Linked DNA regions of Arabidopsis thaliana. The protein of the gene in region 1 interacts with the protein of each later gene in a pairwise test. Each region holds a gene or a part of one and is shown in the gene's direction. Other genes may lie near its edges.

Region 1 (3,922 bases):
AGACAGGATCCAACAGCTCCGTGGATCTCGAATTGCGATTGCCATCTTTGTCGGAATTCTTATCGGCTGTGTCTGTTCCGTCTTGTTCCCGAACGGCTTCTTTAACTCGGGATCATCCTTGATTGCTAACGAAGAACGCATTTCGAAATCAACCTCTACGGTACTGAGAGAGATCTTATGCTTTAAACATCTACAAATTCCTTTTTTTAGAAATTTTTCTGTAATCTCGAGCTCTCGATTTGTGATTAGAATTAGTGTTTGTTGGAATTTGAGAATTTGAGTCTCTTGCGTTTGTTATGAAGATTCAAAATCTTCATGGATTTTTGAGTAGAACTACAAATTGCATGTCTTGAACATTTGAGTTTAACTGGTGAAGTTTCATTTTTTTTCTCTGTTTTTTGAATTGTTCAGGATGGATTGGCTTCATGTGAATCATCTGAACGAGTCAAAATGCTCAAATCAGACTTTTCAATTATCTCGGTAAAGAACGCAGAGTTAAGGAAGCAGGTAAGAGAACTAACGGAGAAGGTACGGTTGGCGGAACAGGAAACAGAGAATGCAAGGAAACAAGTCTTAGTTTTGGGATCAGAGATAAAGGCAGGGCCTTTTGGTACTGTCAAGAGTCTGAGAACTAATCCAACTGTTGTTCCTGATGAGTCTGTTAACCCGAGATTAGCTAAGCTTTTAGAGAAAGTAGCTGTCAATAAAGAGATCATTGTGGTTCTTGCAAATTCAAATGTGAAACCAATGTTGGAGTTGCAGATTGCTAGTGTAAAGAGAGTTGGTATTCAAAACTACCTCATTGTCGCGTTGGATGATTCCATGGAAAGTTTCTGCGAATCGAAGGAGGTTGTGTTTTACAAGCGAGATCCAGATAAAGCAGTGGACATGGTTGGAAAAAGCGGAGGTAATCACGCTGTTTCCGGACTGAAGTTCCGCGTCTTAAGAGAGTTCTTGCAGCTTGGTTACAGTGTTCTTCTATCGGATGTGGACATTGTCTTCTTGCAGAATCCTTTTAGTCATTTACACAGAGACTCTGATGTTGAGTCAATGAGTGATGGTCACGACAATAACACGGCTTATGGCTTCAACGATGTGTTTGATGAACCATCAATGGGATGGGCTAGGTATGCACACACAATGAGGATATGGGTTTTCAATTCAGGGTTTTTCTATCTAAGACCAACTATTCCTTCAATAGACCTACTCGATCGTGTGGCAGATACACTCTCTAAGTCAGAGGCATGGGACCAAGCGGTTTTCAACGAGCAACTCTTTTACCCTTCGCATCCAGGGTACACTGGCTTACACGCTTCCAAGAGAGTCATGGATATGTACGAGTTCATGAACAGTAAGGTACTCTTCAAAACAGTGAGAAAGAATCAAGAACTGAAGAAGTTGAAGCCAGTGATTGTGCATCTCAATTACCATCCAGATAAACTCGAACGAATGCACGCTGTGGTAGAGTTCTACGTTAATGGCAAACAAGATGCGTTGGATAGCTTTCCCGATGGTTCAGATTGATAAAAGAGATGGATGCTTGTTAAGCAAGATATCGAAAAACCCAATCATCTTCTTCTTCCTCGAGTTAAGAAAAAAGGTAGGCTAAGTTTCATCTTCCCACATCTGTTGTTATAATCAGTTATCCTTTTAGGTTCCTAGTTCTTCTTCTCTACTAAGAATCTTGTGTAGCCTATAGCTGAAAAACTCAAGAGTCTTATTAACAATACTGTATTGTTGACCACAGTTTCTTATTTAGTCAGAAAAGTCTCTCTTTTTTTAACTATGCATTATTTCCTGACCACAAAAAAAAATTATGAGAGAGACAACAAACGAGAGATTAGGCAAGAAAGAGAGATATGGAAGAACAAGGAAGACAAAGAGAGTGTAAGAGTTTTGGATGTATGTGGGTTTTATCCACAAACAAGACTCTTTAAGATTCTTCTCTCTGTAATGACCGGAAAATCCCATTTTTTTGTGGTTTCAAATCAAATGGAACCCCACTCTTACCTCTGTCTTTGTCTTTTTCTTAAAGCCTTTTGTTTCAGCCTCTGTATGTATCTCCCTCTCCGGAGCAATTGCAAATTCTGTGTCTTTGTGCTATGCAGACATTACCAAGCTCAGAAACCGTTCTTTTAGGCTCCAACTCAGCACCACCTGTGTTGCGTAGTCCCGGTGGCGATGACGTGGACATCGATTTTGGTGACGTGTTTGGTGGTCCTCCTAAGAGACGCTCTAAAGTTACTAGTAACGAAGTCACACGACATAGCTTCAGTGAATCCGCTCTCCGGCGTCGTGACGTCATCGTCGACGTCGGCGATCTGCTTCCGCAAGACGAGAAGCCTGTATTCGGCGAAGATACATCATCTGTCCGGCGTCGTTTCACCACTGATGATTTCTTCGACGATATTTTCAGAGTTAATGAATCATCATCACTTCCGGGTTCTCGGATCCTTAGCCCGGCTCACAAACCCGAATCTTCTTCAGGGACTTCGTCTCCATCCCAATTCAGGTCTGTTTTCTTTGAACTAATTTAAACGAAGAGATAAGTTTCGTTGCTAATTTGTATAATTGTTGACTTTGTTACTCAGTCTTCCTGCAAAAGCAACAGAGATTCCAACATTTAATTTAGCAGCTACTCGTAGTTTGAACAAGAACAAAGAAACTGTTTCGAGCTCTCCTTTGTCAAGAACTTCAAGCAAAGCAGATGTGGTCTCTACTGCTAAATCATATTCAGATGATTGTGATGATCCTCCACAAGTTTTTGTTACTGGGAAAGGAAGGCAATTTCATTTCTCTATCTACAAGTGGCCTAATAAAGGAGTTCCTGTTGTTATTTGGGGAAGCTCTAGATTGAGTTCTATGTCTAAAGCTGAGGAGACAACACCTGTACCATTGAGTGATTATCGAAAAACTTCAGTTGTTGAGAAATTGGGTAAAAATGAAGAAGGAGATGGAAAAAGTGGTTTATCTGGTTTGAAAGATGTGAAGAAGACCTCGCTAAAGCGTCCTGGTGTCCAGACAAAAGAAGAGAAAACAGAAACAGATTTGAAGTCTGAACAAGCCTTCTTTGGTGTCTCAAAAGCACGTGAGGCTAATGTGAAGCCTCTTGATTCAGTTGAGTCTGAACAGGCCTTCTCTGGTGTGTCAAAAGCACATGAAGCTACTACTGTGAAGCCTCTTCATTCAATTTTTCATGAAGAAGATGAGAGACAAGGTTGGTTTCTGCAGACATGTATATTTGTTACATTTGGTTGGGTTAACTTCCTTTTGTTGACTGTGCATTTGGTTCTTTGTCATTGCAGATGAGAAAATAGTATCAGAGAGAGAAGTGAGAAAAGGTAAAAGCAAAGCGAAGAACACTCGAAGTTTTACCGAAGATTCAAGAACCAAGAAGAAATCACAAGGCACTAAAAGTTCTTTGGATAGTAGCCCGATACCCGATAAATCCAGCTTCGCAAGTTCATCAGCAGCACCAGAAGTTGGCAAAGATGGAGTCAAAGGAAAAGTGAGTGACTTCGTTAAGATTTTCAGTAAAGGAGCTTCAGTTGGAGCAGGTGGGGAATCTCTTGGACAAAGCTCTAGATGGAGAGCTAAAGAAACTCCCAAGACTGATATCATTCATGATGGTTCTAATGCCAAGGAAACTGTAAACATTCCTGATCAACAAAAGAAATCGACTCCAGATATCCCCGCTATGGTACTTAATCAGAAAATCAAGATCCTACTTGCTATATGTTCCTTGGTTTGTGATTCCTTACCTGTAAATATCGTTGCAGAATCGGGATCAGAAACCTTCACAGTCAACTCAGAAAAAAGATTCAGACCGGGAGAGCATGAACTATAAGGCTCCTGGTGATACTGTACAAGAAGAGAGACAAGAACCTAGCACAAGTAAGTTCTTTGATTGTTTTTAAATCTT
Region 2 (3,922 bases), on another chromosome or scaffold:
AGCGAGCCATCTTCATACTCGGGAGGGAGCGATACTCGTGAAATCTGCAGTTTATGTGAGTCACATCCGAGATGCGTCGTTCGCCTGCGTGTCCACCTCTTATGGATGTCTCGCCGCGGCGTCCACCGCTTATGGGTTTATTATAGCCTACGCCTACATCTTCTAAAAGTTTCTCGCCGACGCGTCCACCAATGACATAGATATCCGATCCGATAGTGACGACAGTAGATCCCCAAGGCATGGGAGGGAGGGAATCGATTTTGCACAATTTCAACGAAATCGTGTTAGGCAAGTTTCGATAGGGTTTACGATGGAGAATGTACCAGCTAGGGTTTTCAACAGGAGGGAATCCAACGTAGGCGTAAAGAACGTTTTCGGTGTAGCCGAGACGCAAGCGATCATCGTAGAGCTTCGACATGAGACTATGGAAGGATCTGCAGACGAGGGAAAGCGACGGGTGGTGACATCTCCGAACGAGTAGGAAGCAACGTAAGATGAGTTCTTCTGGAATTGGTAGCGACACCTGAACCTTTTCTTTCAATTTCTTGTTTCGATCCTCTTCTTTTTTAGGTTTCTTGATTTGATGATCGCCGCCAGTAGAGCCGTCGTCGGAAGTTTCAGAGATTAAAACCATCACCGTGTGAGTTGGTAGCGAATTAACGGAAAGTCTAAGTCAAGATTTTTTAAAAAGAAATTTATGTGTGAAAAGAAGCCGTTGTGTATATTTATATAATTTAGAAAATGTTTCATCATTTTAATTAAAAAATTAATAATTTGTAGAAGAAAGAAGCATTTTTTATACATAAATCATTTACCTTCTTTACTGTGTTTTTCTTCACTTACTTCATTTTTACTTTTTTACAAAAAAGTGAAAAGTAAATTACGTAATTGGTAACATAAATTCACTTTAAATTTGCATATGTTTTGTTTTCTTCGGAAACTATATCGAAAAGCAAACGGAAAGAACTTCACAAAAAACCCTAGCTAACTAAAGACGCATGTGTTCTTCTTATTCTTCATATATCCTCTGTTTCTTGTGTTCTGTTTTGAGTCTTACATTTTCAATATCTGACTCTGATTACTATATCTAAAAGGGAACATGAAGAACTTGAGACCATGTTAAACTGTACAATGCCTTCAAACATGGCTAACTAAAGATACATTAGATGGCTTTACAGTGTGTAATGCTTATTATCTTTAGGTTTTTTAAATCCCTTGTATTAAGTTATTTACCAAATTATGTTCTTGTACTGCTTATTGGCTTGGTTGTTGTGTGCTTTGTAAACAACACCTTTGGCTTTATTTCATCCTTTGTAAACCTACTGGTCTTTGTTCAGCTCCTCTTGGAAGTGAGTTTGTATGCCTGGAACGGGTTTTAATGGAGTGTTTATCGACAAAAAAAAAATGTAGCTTTTGAAATCACAGAGAGTAGTTTTATATTCAAATTACATGCATGCAACTAAGTAGCAACAAAGTTGATATGGCCGAGTTGGTCTAAGGCGCCAGATTAAGGTTCTGGTCCGAAAGGGCGTGGGTTCAAATCCCACTGTCAACATTCTCTTTTTCTCAAATTAATATTTTTCTGCCTCAATGGTTCAGGCCCAATTATACTAGACTACTATCGCGACTAAAATAGGGACTAGCCGAATTGATCCGGCCCAGTATCAGTTGTGTATCACCACGTTATTTCAAATTTCAAACTAAGGGATAAAGATGTCATTTGACATATGAGATATTTTTTTGCTCCACTGAGATATTTTTCTTTGTCCCAAGATAAAATATCTTTTCTCGCATCGTCGTCTTTCCATTTGCGCATTAAACCAAAAAGTGTCACGTGATATGTCCCCAACCACTACGAATTTTAACTACAGATTTAACCATGGTTAAACCAGAATTCACGTAAACCGACTCTAAACCTAGAAAATATCTAAACCTTGGTTAATATCTCAGCCCCCTTATAAATAACGAGACTTCGTCTACATCGTTCTACACATCTCACTGCTCACTACTCTCACTGTAATCCCTTAGATCTTCTTTTCAAATTTCAATGGCGTCCGGTGATGTTGAGTATCGGTGCTTCGTTGGAGGTCTAGCATGGGCCACTGATGACAGAGCTCTTGAGACTGCCTTCGCTCAATACGGCGACGTTATTGATTCCAAGGTCTGTTACACGCCGAGATCGGACTCCGAGTGATATCGATGATCTCATCCTCGACGGATCTGTTCCGATCTTGTGTTTCTCTGTTACTTGATTCGATTACTCTGTTACTATTCTCGTTCTTTGTTACTACTACTACTACTACTGTTACTTGTATTTTCCCAAATCGGTACGTTCATCTTCCTGCTTCTGTGAGCCCGGAGATCGATCGGATTTTTTTGTATTTTGTATATTTGTTGTAGATCTAAATGCTTTTGTTCAGTTTTGTTGGATTGTTTTGCTGATCTGGTTTTTGTATTATTTGGATAACAGATCATTAACGATCGTGAGACTGGAAGATCAAGGGGATTCGGATTCGTCACCTTCAAGGATGAGAAAGCCATGAAGGATGCGATTGAGGGAATGAACGGACAAGATCTCGATGGCCGTAGCATCACTGTTAACGAGGCTCAGTCACGAGGAAGCGGTGGCGGCGGAGGCCACCGTGGAGGTGGTGGCGGTGGATACCGCAGCGGCGGTGGTGGAGGTTACTCCGGTGGAGGTGGTAGCTACGGAGGTGGCGGCGGTAGACGCGAGGGTGGAGGAGGATACAGCGGCGGCGGCGGCGGTTACTCCTCAAGAGGTGGTGGTGGCGGAAGCTACGGTGGTGGAAGACGTGAGGGAGGAGGAGGATACGGTGGTGGTGAAGGAGGAGGTTACGGAGGAAGCGGTGGTGGTGGAGGATGGTAATTCCTTTAATTAGGTTTGGGATTACCAATGAATGTTCTCTCTCTCGCTTGTTATGCTTCTACTTGGTTTTGTGTGTTCTCTATTTTGTTCTGGTTCTGCTTTAGATTTGATGTAACAGTTCGTGATTAGGTATTTTGGTATCTGGAAACGTAATGTTAAGTCACTTGTCATTCTCTAAATAACAAATTTCTTCGGAGATATTATCTCTGTTGATTGATTCTATCATCTAAATTTCGGAAATGCTAATCGGATACCGGAATGGTGCCTTTGTTACGATTGAGTTACTTACATCACTGATACAACAATGAAGTACTTACTGATTATCTTTATACCATTCACCACACTACCTTTGATATTCAACAATGAAGTAGAAACCTATTTGGTTCATTCGCATCAACAAGAGTACTCTGAAATTACTGATTATTTTCGATTTTAGACTGCTATGGAGATTTCCAACTCAACTTATGCATGTTACAAAAGCTACTATATTTCTGTGATCCAGTTTAAAGTTAACTCATTGAGTCACTGTTGTTGTTCTTCCTTTAGACGAAAATGTATTTAACTCATGAACTTTGTAAACAAAATGAAGCTATTTTAGACCGTGTGTATCCTACTCCCCTTCTTCATAATCATATCGAATGTGTTCCTATTTGGTAATTTCATTTTGGATTTGCTCAAACATATCAAATTTATACTTTGAAAAGAAAAGAATCAACAAACTAAAGTTATTTCATAATATATATTTTACTTATCTCATAATCCAAACATATAATTTATGAAATAACTTTATTTTGTTGATTCTTTTCTTTTCAAAGTATATAATTTACTTATTTCATAATCCAAACAATTATATAGAAACTTTCATAACATGAGTTAATATAAGCCTAACGCTAAATTTATATAGAAACTTTCTTAACATGAGTCAAATTAAGTCTAATGCGAAATTTTACATTCTAATTTAATTTTTAATGATGTTTAACATATTAACATTTGATCAGCATATATGAGTAGATTATCGATTAGAAAGTGATTTCT

The links.
Region 2: the proteins of JAC1 (region 1) and GRP7 come close enough for resonance energy transfer, tested with the Arabidopsis thaliana proteins (one study listed by BioGRID).

The regions. Positions count from the first base shown.
Region 1 is NC_003070.9:28,191,950-28,195,871, reverse strand, and holds the start of JAC1 (J-domain protein required for chloroplast accumulation response 1), read left to right. Parts: upstream 1-1,803; 5' UTR 1,804-2,102; coding exon 2,103-2,512; intron 2,513-2,591; coding exon 2,592-3,217; intron 3,218-3,305; coding exon 3,306-3,700; intron 3,701-3,779; coding exon 3,780-3,894; intron 3,895-3,922. Other genes in the region: RRA2 (Nucleotide-diphospho-sugar transferase family protein), read left to right, coding at 1-160, 412-1,524. UniProt on the Arabidopsis thaliana protein: Required for chloroplast photorelocation movement; chloroplast accumulation upon low blue light and for chloroplast movement to the bottom of cells in darkness, by modulating chloroplast actin (Cp-actin) filaments distribution, appearance and disappearance.
Region 2 is NC_003071.7:9,264,442-9,268,363, reverse strand, and holds GRP7 (cold, circadian rhythm, and rna binding 2), read left to right. Parts: upstream 1-1,806; 5' UTR 1,807-2,047; coding exon 2,048-2,161; intron 2,162-2,470; coding exon 2,471-2,887; 3' UTR 2,888-3,280; downstream 3,281-3,922. Other genes in the region: AT2G21680 (Galactose oxidase/kelch repeat superfamily protein), read right to left, coding at 1-634. UniProt on the Arabidopsis thaliana protein: Plays a role in RNA transcription or processing during stress. Binds RNAs and DNAs sequence with a preference to single-stranded nucleic acids. Displays strong affinity to poly(U) and poly(G) sequence.